Oryctolagus cuniculus: one gene and its partner. The protein of the gene in region 2 interacts with the protein of the main gene of each other region in a biochemical or structural test. Links are inferred from orthologs where the notes say so. Each region holds a gene or a part of one and is shown on either strand. Other genes may lie near its edges.

What was found.
Region 1: of the proteins of TRIM25 (region 2) and ZC3HAV1, one has a biochemical effect on the other in vitro, tested with the Homo sapiens proteins (2 studies listed by BioGRID). The link is inferred for Oryctolagus cuniculus from reciprocal best matches to the Homo sapiens genes TRIM25 and ZC3HAV1.

The regions. Positions count from the first base shown.
Region 1 is NC_091434.1:184,859,678-184,868,129, reverse strand, and holds the start of ZC3HAV1 (zinc finger CCCH-type antiviral protein 1), read right to left. Parts: upstream 4,662-8,452; 5' UTR 4,313-4,661; coding exon 4,005-4,312; intron 3,614-4,004; exon of another isoform or gene 3,424-3,613; intron 1-3,423.
Region 2 is NC_091448.1:32,514,983-32,522,673, forward strand, and holds part of TRIM25 (E3 ubiquitin/ISG15 ligase TRIM25), read right to left. Parts: coding exon 7,282-7,691; intron 4,425-7,281; coding exon 4,329-4,424; intron 2,234-4,328; coding exon 2,000-2,233; intron 1-1,999.

The DNA of each region.
Region 1 (8,452 bases), on a different chromosome or scaffold from region 2:
TCCTCCGCCTAGCGGCGCCGGCACACCAGGTTCTAGCCCCGGTCAGGGCGCCGGATTCTGTCCCGGTTGCCCCTCTTCCAGGCCAGCCCTCTGCTGTGGCCAGGGAGTGCAGTGGAGGATGGCCCAGGTGCTTGGGCCCTGCACCCCATGGGAGACCAGGAAAAGCACCTGGCTCCTGGCTCCTGGCTCCTGGCTCCTGCCATCGGATCAGCGCGCTGCGCCGGCCGCAGCGCGCCGGCCACGGCGGCCATTGGAGGGTGAACCAACGGCAAAGGAAGACCTTTCTCTCTGTCTCTCTCTCTCACTGTCCACTCTGCCTGTCAAAAAAAAAAAAAAAAAAAACAGTTCGACAGAAATCACGCGTGCAAAAAGAACCACTTGCATGGCTGCCAGATCTCACTCCACAGAGCTGCCGTCAAGGAAGCCGCCTGGCGCTGGTCCCTGCTCGCCACGGTGCTTGCTTCGCGGTCGTTTGTTCAACAGAGGGCAGCTATTGTTTGTGTCAGAACGGGGATTTGCGCTCCATGTGTGGGCACGCGCTCAGCAAAGCAAACAGAAACATACAAACCAATGCACCGAAACGAATAATTTTCCAACACCAAAGCAACTCCTTTTGTTGAGCAAACTATATCACAAGAAGCATTGCAAAAGAGAGGAACTACAAGATAGAAATTCATTCCATAAATAATAACTTTAATCCGCTGTATATAACGTTAAGTGAAAACAGATCTTAGTGAAAAACAGGACAGGTAATAGGAGAGGGAAGAAGGATGGGAAGGTGGGTACGGGGGAAGAATTACTGTGTTCCTAATGTGGTTATGAAATGCATGCAACTAAATACATTTTAAAATAAACACAATAATAATAACTCTACAAGGAAAATTTTTATTTTAAGCTTAGCAAAAAAATGCAACTCAACCGCATATAACAAAGGAGAGTTCACTGGTCCGAATAAAGCCTTGTTATGGGAGTCGATCGGCTAAGAGACCCCAACAACACACGATACACACAAAAGGACCTTCACTTCTCGAGTGTCACAGGTGGGAAGATAAAGGTTTGTAAAGCTGCTAAGGAAGAGTATTTTTAAAAACATATTTGGGGAGAAAAAAACACATGATAGCCTCCGAGGCAAAAAAAAAAAATTCCTGGAGGTCCTTATTAGAATACTCTATACGTTAAAGCATGAAAATTGGTAATTTTGGGGAAGACACTCAGCCGAGGGGACACCGGCAGGATGTCTTCATCCCTTATTGGGTTCCCGGTTCCGTGTCTCCCGCCAGCTCCTGATTCCAGCTGCCTGGAACCAGCGGATGACACGTCTCTCAAATAAATAAATAAGAATGCTTTAAACTTTGTGACTCCAAAATTAAAAAGTGACATAAAAATAAACTTAAAATGTGTATAGACCAGTACGTGTAAGAAATCAGACTTGAGTAAGCCCTCTGGAGGGCCCATCCAAACTTGCATAGATCAAACAATTCCTGCATTACATTCACTCTTTTAAAATACAGAAAAGCTCCAGGTAAACATCCCAATAGATGAGTTTAATGTAGTTTTGGGGCCGGCACTGTGGTATACTGGGTTAACCCGCCACCTGCAGGGCTGGCATTCCGTATGGGCACCGGTTCAAGTCCCAGCAGCTACACTTCCAATCCAGCTCCCTGCTAATGCACCTGGGAAAGCAGTGGAAGATGGCCCAAGTGTTTGGACCCTGCACCCACGTGGCACCTGGAAGAAGCTCCTGGCTCCTGGCTCTAGCCTGGCCGAGCTCTGGCCATTTTGACCATTCAGGGAGCAAACGAGAAGATGGAAGATCTCTCTGTGTCTCTCACTCTCTCTGTAAATCTGCCTTTCAAATAAATAAAATAAATCTTAAAAAAAATAAAATAAAATAGTTTTGATGTTTCAAACCAGGACAAAAAATTAAAGCTACCATAATAAAAATCATAAAACGAAAATTTCCAAACATAGTGCATATAGCTAATTGAAACAATTATAGGTTTTGTAGCATAGGTTTTTCCTGAAAATGCAAGTTGTATTTATAACACAGTCACGAATATTAAAATTGTAATCTATTTTAAAAATGCAATCATTCTGTGGTTGTATAAACGAAGTAAAGACCTTATCTTCTGGAGATAATGAGATGCTTATAAACGATAGCTGGAATTTGCCTTAGAACAGCACCCGGAGTTACATGTAGGCGCTGGGAAAGACAGAACACAGGACACAAGACTGTCACACTTTGAGAACTACTGAATCCAAACAGTGGGTACGCCGAGGTTCACTATTCTCTTGCCTCTGCTTTTGACTGCACTGGAAACACTGAGTAAAAATCTTTAAAAATAAGAAGATAGTGCTTAGGGGCCAGTGCTGTGGCTCAGAGTTAGGCCGCACCTGAAGGCGCCATCAAATGTGAGCACTGGTTTGAGTCCCGTCTGCTCCACTTCTGATCTAGCTTCCAGCTTATGTGCCTGGGAAAGCCCCAAGGGGCGGCCCGGGCACTTGGGCCCCTGCTGCTCACGTGGGAGACCCAGAGTACAGGCTCCTGGATTCCGCCTGGCTCAGCCTCAGCTGTTGAGGCCATCAGAGTGAATCCGTGGATGAAGATCTCTGTGTCTGCCTCTCTCTCCAACTCTGCCTTTCAAATAATAAAATTATCTCTTTTTTAAGGTTTATTTTATTTAGTTGAGAGGCAGAGTTACAGAGAGGGGAGAGAGACACAGAGAGAGAGATCTACTATCCGCTGGCCCACTCCCCAAGAGGGTACAATGGCCAGGACCGGGGCCAGGCTGGGGCCAAGAGCCAGGAGCTTCTTCCGGGAATCCCACGCAGGTGCAGGGGCCCAAGCAGTTGGGCCATGTCCCCATTGCTTGCCCAGGCATATTTGCCAAGGTCGAAGGCAGCAGCTTTACTCACTCCCAATAAATAAATCTTTTAAAAAGAGATAGTTTAAAATTAAGTCAACCCCAGTTAACTAAGAATTTTTCATAACAGAACAGAGAACAGAAAATTAAAAAGAACGCCTTCCAACCTCGTTGTTCTTCAATATGGTGCTAGAATGTACTAGAATGTTGTTCCCTGTTATCCCGCTCTCCGACCTCTACCCTCCTTAGCCGTGTCTTCAGTTGAGCGATTTAGATGACTCCGTCTAGACACACAACTTTCTGACCTCAGACTCCCAAAGTGTTGAAACAATAAGCATTTATGTAAGGGAACACATTCAAGCGCTTTTCGTTGAAGTTACGGGGCGATGGGGAAGCAGCGGAGGATGGCCCAAGTCCTTGGGGCCCTGCACCCGCGTGGGAGACCCGGGGGAAGCTCCTGGCTCCGGCTTTGCGGCCATCTGGGGAGTGAACCAGTGAACGGAAGACCTCTCTCTCTGCAACCCTACCTCTCTAATAAGTAAAAGTAAATAAAGTTGCAGGGCGAACCGAAACAGCTTTTGCTCTAAACACATCATTTTCACAAACATGATCTACCTCATCCAGTAAAAACCTCCTCCTCCGTAACACGCACGGGAGGCGAGGGGCCCGGGCTGCACCATGTTGGCGACAAGTCCTCCAACAGGAAAAACCAGCAGTCCGGCGGGAGGGACCCGTTCCGAACTCCGCAGGTGCGCGCCGGGGCAGGGAGGCAGGCGGGAGGCCGCAGAGGGCCGGAGGGACGCCGGACGCAGCCGGGGCTGGGGCCGTGCAGCGCGCCGACCGCCGCTCCGAGCGCCCCGCCGGCGACCCCGCGCACCTTCGCTGACCCTGGAGGACCCCACTCCGGCCGCGGGGAGCCGAGTGGGGACGGCCGGGGCGCAGGTCGCGCAGCCTGAGGCGCGCGGGGCCGGGTGCCGGCCGCACGTCTGGGGCGAAGGCGGCGGAGGAAGACCCGCGACGGCAGAGCCCAGGCCCGCGCCCGCGGCCGGCTTCCCCGAAGGGCGCAGCGCGCGGGGGCACGGACGGGGAGCCTGGCCTCGGCCGCGGGGGAAGGGGCCTGGGGACGCCGGAGGCACTCACCGCTCCGCCTGCGAGTAGTGGCAGCGGCCCAACACGTTGAGCTTGCACAGGTGCAGCTTCCCGCAGGGCCTCTCGCAGTGCTTGCGACGGCAGATTCGGACGGGAGTGGTGGCCACCACGGAGCAGGACACCCCGTCCTTGCCGCCCGTCTCCAGCACCACGAAGCGCTCGAGGCCGGCCGCCTCCAGCTCGTGGCACAGCTGCGCCTTGGGGAGCCCGATCTCCTGGAGCAGCGCGTCCAGCGCCAGGCGGCCGCCGTGGGCGCACAGGATTTTGGTGATGAAGCAGCACACCCCGGGGTCCGCCATGGCGCGCGCTCGCCGGCTCGCAGGCTGCGCCGAGAATCGAAACTGACCAGGGTCCTGAGGGCGGGCGGGGCCGCTAGGCGAGCCGGCGGTTTCGGTTTCCGTCTCGGCTGGAGGCGGGATCTCCCCGACGCGGGTCCCTCCAGGGGCCGCCGGGCGGGCGGAGGGTCCGCGCGCGCCCCGGGCGGGCGGCCGCCGGCGCTGCGTGCCGCGGCTCCGGGCTCGGCGGGGCCAGAGTCCCCCAGCCCCGCGCGAAGAGGAAGTGAAACCGACGTCGGGGCTCCGGCGCGCGTGACGCGCGTGTGGGCCGGGGGGAGCCGACCCCGGCCAGCGCCTCCGCCCCAGCAGGGCGCGCGGCCCCGGGGCGAGGGAGCCGCCTTCCGCGGAGCCCCGACGGCCGCCGCGCCCCTCCGAGCCCCCCAGGGAGCGGCCTTCCCACGCCCCCGCTTCGTTTCTCTGTTGTTTATTATTATTATTATCTCTATTATGTTCTTTTGCCACCTCACGGTGTTTTTGGACAGCCACTTCTTGACCGGTTCCTGCGCACAGCGTGACAGCGAGAAGTCGCCGAGGGGCCTGCCGGACGCGGCCCGGGCTGGACGGGTTCTGCTCGGCCCCCGGCGCGGCACACACATGATTTTTAGGAGAAGCGCAGCGCCCTGAGCCCGCCGCCTACTCCCGCCCCTCCACGCGGCCGACGGTTCCCCGCGTATTCCCCGGCCCCGGGACCTGGGCGACCCCGCCTTCGCATCACAGCGCCAGGAGGAAGCTCCCGCACTGCCCTGCTGAGACCGCAGAAACCCGCCCGCAGGTGCAGTCTACGGAATACTACACAGCGGCAAAAGAAAAATTAAAAAAACCCAATCCCGCGTTTGCAACGAAATGCATGAATCTGGAAAACATCGTGCTTAAATAAGCCAGTCCCAAAGGGACAAATCGTGAGGCCGCCACAGACACACCGGCCACCGGAAAGGTTTATAGTCGGGTGGGGGAGAGGGCGCGAGGGTGAGAGCTGAGAGAGAGAGGAGAGAGAGAGAGAGAGAGAGAGAGAGAGAGAGAGAGGGAGAGGGAGAGAGAGAGAGAGAGAAGCTCAAGACCCCAGGGGGCGGGCAGGGAAGTAGGAGCAGCGAATCCCCTAGGGTCGGGGTGGAGCTGACCCCGGTGGTAGGGACTTGTGGTCACCTGACTTCCAGCAGCTGTGGTGGGGGCCATAGCTTTGGATGGTGTCCGGCATAGATCGCGCCACAGATAAGAGAGCGCCATTTTACTAACAGATACCACAGGTTCTCCCTGATCTGTGATAACCAATGGAGCGCCTAAAAGGATACCTGTAGGACTGAAATAGACACTTGGAGAAGCAATGACTTGAACAGCCCTTGTCTTGACGGTCCAGGAATAGGTTTTTTGTTGTTTTTTTACTTAATGGAGAATGGGCCTGGGAATGGGAGAGGGAGGAGGTGGGTGGGAGGGCAAGTATAGTGGGAGGATCGACTATATTCCTAAAGTTGCCCTTACAAAATTTGTAATCCTTAGATAAACAGTTCCTTTAGGAAACACACACACACACACACACACACACAAACACGTTGGTGATGTGGGTGGTGTTGGCTAGTATGCAGGCCCCGGCACAGGGCTGGACCCACGTTGGAAGAGGGAAGTTTTTTCTTCCCAACACGCCCAAGTAAAAGAAGTGGCCGCTGACCAGATGCGGAAAAGCGTAGAACTCGGTTACCAGATTAGAATTCTGCAACATGGTCCGGGGATTCTCTTCAGTGTGGTAATTCAGGTAGGTGAACAGGTCACCCCTCTTCCCCGATGCCTGCAACAGGACCCCCAGAAGCCGCGAAGCCTGACAGACCCACAACCTTAGGCAGGGCCTAGATAAAGGCCTCTGTCCAGGGTGAAGCCCAAATGCCAGAGATTCGTGGTTGTCCGTGGAGGTGGGGGGGGGCATGGGGGAGGCCCAGAGCTGAGGGCCGCAGAGGGGCCAGGGCTCTGCCCAGCGATGCAAACCCCCTGTCAGGGGAAGCTGGTCCCGGAAGGCACTGCCCTTGCCAGTGCGCTGCTCTGGGCTCAGGCCGGCCCCTCCCACGGCCTGCAGCTCTCTGACAGCTCTGGGGACAGAGGGCGTGGTGTGCAGATCAGCCAGACGGGCCCACGTGGAACGGTCCGGCTCTTGTTCCGCGCAGTGGCCGCTGCTTTGGTTGACTTTCACCTCCTTGGCCTTGGCTGTGGCCTGACAGGACCCCAGGCACTCTCTCCTCTCAGGTCAGTTCAGTTCAGAGTGCTCACCGACTGCCTTCCGTGGGGCCCTTACTCTCGAACACACGAAGCTTGAGACCAGGCTTGTGTCCAGGCAGGATGTGCTTGGAAGAAATGAGGAATGTCAAAGTGTGGGGAGACAGACGGTAAAGGGGCCAGCCTGGCGGGGTGGCTGGGAATGAGGACAGAATTCCCCTCCGCCCGCAGCCCCGAGGACTGATGTGAGGGACAGGGGGCTTGGGGGGAATTTCTGAACCTGCCACAGGACTCTCCAGGAAGGGAATGCTGACCTGCAATGAGACGTGCAGAGGAGTTCCCGGGTGTGTGTTAGGAAAAGGCAGTTTTATCTATGGCGCGATCTACACCCTGATTTACATCCTAAGCTCTAGCCCCCAGAGAATGGCAGCGCTCTTGTCTTCCTGCAAGAATTCAGGCGTGAGAGAGAGAGTGAAAAGCAAATAGCAAGGTTTATTAGGGAAGGGACATCTGCAAGAACGGATGGGCACCTCTCCAGACAGGACCTGAGAGTGCCCAGTCGCTCGGACTGGGCAAGAGTGGGGTTACATGGTTGAGTGGAGAGTACACCTGGCCAGGCCAGGGGCAGCTCAGCAGAGAGGCAGAGGGCTGAGCGCGCAGTCCGGTTGAGGCTGGGGGTTTTAAGGAGATGGGTCTCGCTTCTCCACCTCTGCTCCTCTTGGAACAAAGGGCTTTTTGGATGTAAATAGAAAAACTTCTATCTGAGTTATCAGAGGGGGGGGGGGTCTGGCTGCCCCAGAGGAAGGGCAGGGAGGGCGTTTGAAGTGCAGATACTGGGCTGCACCTGGAAGGTTATCAGGCAGAACAAAGACATCTTCTCTTCAGGCCTTTGTCACACACACACACACACACACACACACACACACACACATGCAAGCTCGTATCTGACTTCCTAGCCGCCATTGCTGGAAGCTAGGTGTCCACAGGGCCCAACCACTGTTTTCAAGCTCCACCCCCATCCTAATGGGATTTGCTGCTCCTGCTTCCCTGCCCGCCCTCCGGCAAAGATTTAAAAGGACCTGCTCTGGGGGGCCTGTGCCAGCTCACTTGGTTAATCCTCTGCCTGTGGCACCGGCATCCCATATGGACACCGGGTTCTAGTCCCAGTTGCTCCTTTTTCAGTCCAGCTCTCTGCTGTGGCCCAGGATAGCAGTGGAGGATGGCCCAAGTGCTTGGGCCCCTGCATCCGCATGGGAGACCAGGAGGAAGCACCTGGCTCCTGGCTTCAGATCGGCGCAGCACCGGCCAATTGGGGGATGGACCAACGGAAGGAAGGCCTTTCTCTCTGTCTCTCTCTCTCACTATCTTCTCTATGTGTCCAAAAAAAAAAAAAAAAAAAAAAAAGACCTTCTCCTGAACACATGGCTCTCTCCTCTCTCTCCCTCCATCTCCTGATCTCTCTTTCTCTCCGTCTCCTGATCTTTCTCTCTCTCCGTCTCCTGATCTCTCTCTCCCTCCATCTCCTGATCTCTCTTTCTCTCCATCTCCTGATCTCTCTCTCGATCTCTCTTTTGCTCTCCTCCCTCTTTTCCTCCTTCACCCCTTCCCTCCAGTCTGTCGGGTTTCCTGCAATAAGCTCTTTCCCTTACTCCGGGGTCTGGTATGTTTTGTGGCGGCCCTTCACCCTGGGTTGAAGGGGGACTTGAGCCACACGCGGTGTCAGCTCTAGTCCACGCTTTCTCCGTCTGTAGTCGGGGAACAGTGCTTCCTGCAGAGCTGCTGGGGAGAGAAGTTACTGGACTGAGCTGTGGCTCCTCCACCACAACTGGTCCCCGCACGTCTTTCCAGTCCGTTCCGACACTGCTCACTCACCCTTTGCTAGCATCTCAGCTGACCTCAGGAGCT
Region 2 (7,691 bases):
GGGATGAAATCGAACGCCCGCCAGCCTGGGCTTCATGCACAGGGAGAAGCTCCCACCGCTCCTGTACTCTCCCAGGACCTACGCCTTTCAAGGGCGGTGGCAGGGAACCCAGATGCCCCACCAGGCCCACTGTGCTGGACATTAGAGACGCAAGGAGCGAGGGAACAGGATGGGTTACCATGGCAACAGACATGCTACAATGCCACCAGTGCTCCAGGAGAGGCAGGGGGACGTGCTCCGCAATATCCATCAAGGTAAGAAAAACGGATCCCAAGAAGACGGGGAAACCGGAGCTGGCCTTGGAAGGAGGGCGCGGCGTCCAGGGACGAGGAGGTCAAGTGTGGCCTTTCGCCCAGTGCCCACTCCATCTGGGAATGGTGATTCCCCACCATGGTCATGGCACAGGACATGGGCTGGGAGAGCAGGTGGCAAGACACGAGGCAAGATCTGGTCGCCAAGAACCTTGTGGGCCACATGAAGAGGGATGGAGCCATGAAGGGCAGGGGTCTGGGGGCAGTGAAAAGAAAGGCAGGAAAGAGGAAGAGGATGGGGTGTGAAGAAGGCAGGATTCTGAGACAGCCCCCAAGATCCCCATTCCCTCTGGGGAGCACACCCCATATAATCCTTGGTCTTTGAGGGGGAGGCGTGGGGGATGCGGCAGGATATCACTCCCATGATTGGGTTACAAGCAGAGGCAGGAATGTTACAGGTGTAATTGAGACCCCCACTCAGGGGCCAGCATTGTGGCAAAGTGGGTTAATCACTGATTGTGAGGCCAGCCTCCCATAATGGAGTGCTGGTTCAAGTCCTGGGTCTTCTGCTTCCATCCAGCTTTCAGAGGGGTTACCTGGGCAACAGAGGCTGGCCCGAGTGTGTGCGCCCCTGCTACCCATGCGGGAGGCCTGGAGGGAGTTCCTGGCTCCTGCCTTTGACCCGGCCTACACCTGGCTGTTGTGGCCATTTGGGGAGAGAAACAACAGATGGAAGTTCTCTCTCTCTCTCTCTTTCTCTGTGTATGTGTGTGTGTATGTGTGTCTTCTTCTCTCTCTATCACTCTGCCTTTCAAATAAATAAATCTTTAAAAAGAAACAAACAGGGCTGGCGCTGTGGCTCAATAGGCTAATCCTCCACCTTGTGGCGCTGGCACACCGGGTTCTAGTCCCGGTCGGGGCACCGGATTCTGTCCCAGTTGCCCTTCTTCCAGGCCAGCTCTCTGCTGTGGCCAGGGAGTGCAGTGGAGGATGGCCCAGGTGCTTGGGCCCTGCACCCCATGGGAGACCAGGATAAGTACCTGGCTCCTGGCTCCTGCCATCAGATCAGCACGGTGCGCCGGCCGCAGTGCGCCAGCCGCGGTGGCCATTGGAGGGTGAACCAACGGCAAAAAGAAGACCTTTCTCTCTGTCTCTCTCTCTCACTGTCCACTCTGCCTGTCAAAAAAATAAAAAAAGTAAAAATAAATAAATAAAATAAAAATTAAAAAGTAAAAAAAAAAAAAGAAACAAACAACAAGAAGACCCCGAATCAGTTGACCTGGAGTTCATCCAGAGGGGGATTTTTTCGGGTGAGCCAGACAATCAGGTAAAAGGAGGACCAGGCCTTCCTCGAGGGAGCAGCTCTCCTGCTAGCTTTGAGGAAGGAAGCTACCAAGCTGGGAGAGGCCTTGGCTGACAGCCAGCAAGGAGGGGGCGACCTCATTCCTTCAACCCTAAGGAAATGAATTCTACCAACAACGGCCACGCCATGTGCGCTCCAAAAGGAACGCAGCCCAGCCAGCCCCCAGATGCTGGCGTCGTGAGCTCCTGCGCAGACGGAGCCATGCCCATACTCCAGGGCCAGGGAGCCGCTGAGCAGCTCTAAGCCCTGGGGCTGCGGTACGTTCTTGAAGTCCTGTCGCAACCCAGCAAACTCAGAGATACTTCTGTTGACCTCTTGCAGCCCGACGGCACCAGGCCCCACCGTATCGCTAAGAGACCCGGCAGTCCCGGGCCCTGCCACCCACCTCCAGAAACTCAAACTCGTCCCCCTCCTTGAGGCCGTCCTCGATCTTCTCCTTCAGGGCCTGGATCTCGCTCTTCTTCTTGAGGAGCACCTGGTGAATGGTGTCCAACTTGCTGTGCACTCTCTTCTCCTCTTCCTTTATCTTTCGAGTCGAGCTGGCCTCCGAGGCATCGATGAGAGCCTTGATTTCCAGGTATTCTTGTCGCAGCTGCTCTATCTTCCTGTTTGTAGCCTCCTAAGAGGGCCGAGGCAAGAGAAGAACCGTGAGATGGGCAAAAAAAAAAAAAAAAAAATTGCTACAGCTGCCATCCCAAGGTGGGTGAGAGGCAGAGCACCAGAAACTCTGACTTGTGCCCTGTAGCAGTAGGAGCCAGCACAGCCACCCTGGGCAGCAACCAGGCAGTCTAGGAAATTCGGAGGCATTTGTGCCCAATGACTCGGTGGCTGCGATCCTAGGAAAGCACTCTGGGAAAATGCCCTGACACCTGCCTCAGCGACACACACAAGAATGTTCATAAGTGACACGCTTTGAAACAGCGAGAACCTGGGAACAACCCGGAAATCTGTCAGCAGAAGACTTGAGACAGAGCTGTTCACAGGACGGAAAGCCAAATGGTTATGAGGATTAATAAACTGGAGCCATGCAGGGATAAAGCTCCAAGAGAGAAAAACAACTTGAAGAAGACACAGACTTGGAGAAGCAGCTGTTTATGTAAAGCTGAGAAACAAACAGAAGGGCAGAATCGATTGCTACAGAATGCATACGTGTATGAGATAGCACGTAAAGAAATGCATGGAGCGGCTGAGTACTGAGCCTCGCAGCTGAAGTGCCAGTCAAGATGCCCGCATCCCACACCAGAGTGCCTGTGCTCCATTCCCAGCCCTTGAGACGTGGCTAGTCCAAATCAAGATGTGTTAGCAGAGGCCAGCGTTGTGGTGCAGCAGGTCAACCTGCAGCCTGAGACACAGACATCCATGTGGGCGCCGGTTCGAGTCCCAGCTCCCTGCTAATGCACCTGGGAAGGCAGCGGAAGATGGCCTGAGTGCTTAGGCACCTGGGCCTGTGGGAGACTGTGATGAATTTCTCAGCTCCTGGCTCCAGCCTGGCCCAGCCCTGGCCACTGTAGCTATTTGGGGAGTGAACCAGCAGATGACAGACCTCTCTGTCTCTCCCTCTCTCTGTCTGTAACTCTACCTCTCAAATAAATAAAAAATCTTTTTTAAAAAAATTCTCCCTTCCTATCTTTTCTCCTATACTCCCTGCAATGGATCCAATGCTGCCTTCCCTCCCTATCCCCCGACACCTGCCTCCCAGTAAAGGGTATTTGCAGATGTAATTAAATTGAGGATCTCAACATGAGATCACCCTGTATTATGCTGGTGGGCCCTAAATCTAAAGACAGGTGTTTTGTTTTTATTTGACAGGTGTTTGGAAACACAGAGGGGAAGGAGGGGGAGACTGGAGCCACACAGCCACAAAGCCATCAGCCTGAGGGGCTGGAGCTGGGAGAGGCAAAAATGGCCTCTCGGTCACAGCTGTCAGAGCAGTGTGACCCCACCCATGCTGCAACTGATCCCGCCCACGTTGTGATTTTGGACTTCCAGCCTCCAAAACCGGGAAAGAATGAGTTTCATTTGTTTCAGTCGCCAAGGTTGTGGCAATTTGTTACAGCGCCCCAGGAAACAACACTCTTTTTAGGGAAGATGCAACTCTAGTGGATATTGGCTTCCTGTTTTTCTCCCATTTCAGATCATAATCATTTCTTTATATTCCTACATTTTAGTTCTTTTTTTTTATGCTTATTTATTTGAAAGGCATAATAACACACAGAGAGGGAAAGAGAAAGAGAGCAAGCAAGCTTCCATCCACTGGTTTACTCCCCAAGTGCCTGCAACAGCCAAGGCTGGGCCAGGCTGACACCAGGAGCCCAGAACTCTGGGTCTTCCATGAGGACAGCAGGGACCCAAGCACTTCAGCCAATACCTGCTGCCTCCCAGGGTGCACACTAGCAGAAACTGGATCAGAAGCAGGGGAGCCGGGACTCGAACCAGCACTCTGACATGGGACGCGGGTATCCCAAGCAGTGGTTTAACCACTGTACCACAGCAGCCACCCCCAGCTCAAGTTCTGAAGGTTCCCCCACGGTTGGGCCTGTGGGTGGTTTTCAACTTGGGTTTGCAAAGGGTCTCTCCTGAGCACACAGTGCTTTTGCTTGCTCTGCAAGGCTGGTGCTGAATTCTGATGCTTGTGAGTGCACCCAACACCAGCCTTGTCAAGGTCAGGGCTGCCCCCATCCCGCCTGGTGGTGGACAAGGGCCTGGCCACTCACCTGCACACCCTGCTGCCTGGCTTGCACATCCTCTAGCGCTTTCGACGCCCCATTGATCTGACTGTACATGATGGTGAGTTTGTACCTCAGCTTGTTCTGCAGAGAAAACAAACAAGGGTGAGACAGCTCCTCGTCAGCCTCACCCCCAACACCAGGGGCCATCCCCTGAGTCCATCCCACAGGGGCTCGGCCACCCCGTGTCTCGCCTGTGTAGAGCTTTCTGAAGCAGTCCATCATCCTTTAGGGGGGCTGCACAGTAAGGAAGTTCAGAGAACCAGATGTGGGGTCAGACGGACCCAGCTCAAGTCCCAGTTTGCAGCTGTACAGCTCCCACCACCTCAGTTTCATTGGCCATAAAAGAGAAACAACTGCTCCCACCCCATAGGGCTATCAAGGAGGATTACCTGGAACAACACACCTGCCCATACCTGGGACTTCGCCAGGTAGGAAGTTAGAGATCAGCCCGTGTGTGTGTGTGTGTGTGTGTGTGTGTGGAGCCTAAAGTCAACAAAGCACCAGAGGAGGGAAGGGGGCAGCCTCCAGCAGCGTGGGTCTCCACACTGCAAAGTCCTGTCCATAGCCCTGAGAACTCTGCACGTGATCCCCGCCTGCCCTCCTGCCAGCGCCAAGTGGGCCGCCCTGCCTGATGACACTGGGGAATAAAACCCTGGGAGGAACTGTACCTATTTCACCCAGAAAACTCTTTCCAGGAGAAGATGGACGAGCGGAAGGAGACAGATGGGAAGAACTGGACCCCACTCCCTTACAAACCCCAGTCTTCATGTAAACTGGACATTCTCGGATTCCATCTGGAGAGGGGCCCATCCGCTCTGACAAATGCCCTACCTTGCTACTACCTTACTCACCACTACTCTGTCTCACGTCTAAACTCTTTCTTGTACAAACTTTTATTCCACTCATTACTGCTAGCATCTTCAGGCCTACCCATTTTACAGCTGACAACATCAAGGAGAGGAGAATAAAAAGGTGGCCACGCCGGCATGGAGACAGAGCCACCCGGGACCAGCTGCTGTCAGGGTGATGGCAGAGGTAGTTTAGCTCAATCCTCCCACAGCCAACAACCAGAAAAGCAGACAGAAAACCGAAGAGGGAGGTGGGGGGGGGGGGGGCACTGCTAAAGGAGAAGAGATTGTGGAACCACAATCCTGGAGCAGAGCTGGGCGAGCCTTTGTCAGCTTCAGGGCGACAGAGGACAACATTCCAAGGCTCACCTGGCCCCCCTGCGGGCTGGGACCACCAATGTTAGGAATAAGGCCGACACAGCCCACAGAGGCTGAAGTCCAGGCGTCAACAGTGCAGCCCCCGAAACTCAGTTAAGCTCATTCAGAACTGCCTGGCCCCAGCTGCCTCCGGAAACAAAGGCACGTTATGCATCACCAGTCTCCCAGACTGTCACACCTCTGCTCAGACGTCTGCGGCACAGACGTGGGGAGGGAAGTCACGGCGTTTCCCACCTGCTGCGACTTCCGCACCGCTTTCCACACGTTCATGTATTTACAGCTCAGAACAACGCCATGCGGTTGGAACAACCCAGCCTCCACAGAGGCAGGCACTGAGCCACGGGGCAATTAAGCGACTTGCCAGAGGCCACACTGCTATTAACTGGCACAGCTCAAACCCTGGGATTAAAATGAACACACACAACCCAATCTGAGCATGCCAGAAATTTCTAGGAAAAACACATTTCCTTCCCTTCGCAAGCTGTATCAACATTCCCTGGCCCTCCCTCCCTCCTTGCTGCCTCCCTCTCCCACTCTACCTGAGATATTTGGGACCCACCCTCATCTTAAATCTAGGACCGATGACGTGTCAGACTCAACCTCTGTGACACCGGCCCTCCTCCTGGCTCGGAACAGAGGCTGAGATAACGTGAGGGCCACAGGCCACACCCAGCCAGATCACATGCCTCAAAGCCAGCTTCTAAACTCAGGGGAAAAGACCAGAGGAGCCCAGCTCAGACCCAGGGAAGCAAAGAAGGGCTGTGGCCAGATGGGAGCCAGGCCTTTACCCTGGGCCCGGCAGCCTTGCCATCCCACCCTCCAGGCTCAGGTCTCCTTTGGCAGTGTGAGGCCAGGCCTTGTTCTTTGTCCTCCTGGATACAAAATGCAGTCAGACCCCGCCGGGGAGCTGGGACTGCATAAGCAAAGTGGGCGGGTGATACCTTACCCTCCCCCCCCCCCCCCCCCCCCCCGCTCTGCTGTGAGTCCACAGGGGGCAGGTATGGTTTCCCCAAACTACCGAAACCAAAACCAGCACAGGTCTAGGAGGCCCTGAGTGACTCACCTAGTCCCTCCTCCTACCACCCAGGGGGACCCAGGAGCAGGGCCAAAGCCCGCCTCAGTCACACCAGCACAGCGTGGGTCATCTCCAGGGACTCTGCCCACCCTCCCAGGTCACTAGATGGAGGCTTGGGCTACTTGAGGATGTCCCCCGCTCTGGACTCCACAGACTTGGATAGGAAACTGGTCCATGGGGAGAAACTGCAAACTGTGTCAGACCTACACCTGCTGGGCCACAATGCCTACGCCCCAGCTAAATTAACATCCACGGACCTCGGTTCACTCAACTAGGAAACGGAACTGAGAATAATCACCTCCCAGGTGCCGCCAGAAATCCATGAGGGCAGAGAGGTGAGCTCCAGGGTTCCTATATGACAGCTCAAAACCCTCTCCCAAAGACCTAAGCAGGTTTCAAGCAAGCCAGCTCTCCCCCCAAGTACTCCCTCTGTTAAATGGGTTTATGGCTGGGGCATGGGCCATGAGCGGGGAGGGCTGCACAACCTCGCAGCTCTTTCCTGCTCTGTCGCTGGGGATGCCCCTACTCCAACTCAGGCCCAGCGAGGCCTCCCTCCCCAGGGGATCTGGGGCAGGGCGGCCTCTCTGCAGCGCCCAGCGGGCCCACGCTACCCACGCCCAGCCCCCCCACAGCCTACCTCCAGGTCAGCGCTGGCCTGACTCAGGGACATGGGCGAGCAGGTCTTGTGTTCTATCACGCAGACGTGACAGATGCACTCGCCGTGCTCCGGGCAGAAAAAGTCCCGCAGGCGGTTGTGCTGGGGACACTTGCGGCGCTGCAGATCGCGCACGGGCGGCTGCAGCGGGTGGTCCCGGAAGGCGGGGCTGTCGAGGTGCGGCCGCAGGTGCTCCTGGCAGAAGGAGGCCGTGCACACGAAGCACGTCTTCACGGCGGGCTCCTTCAGGCAGTGGTCGCAGGCCACCTGGGCGACCGTGCTGGGGGCCGCGGCGCGCACGGGCGGCGTCCAGCCGTCGCCGGGCGCCCGGGCCTGCTCCACTATCGCGAGCCGCTCGACCACGGAGCACAGCACCGTGTTCTTGTGCAGCT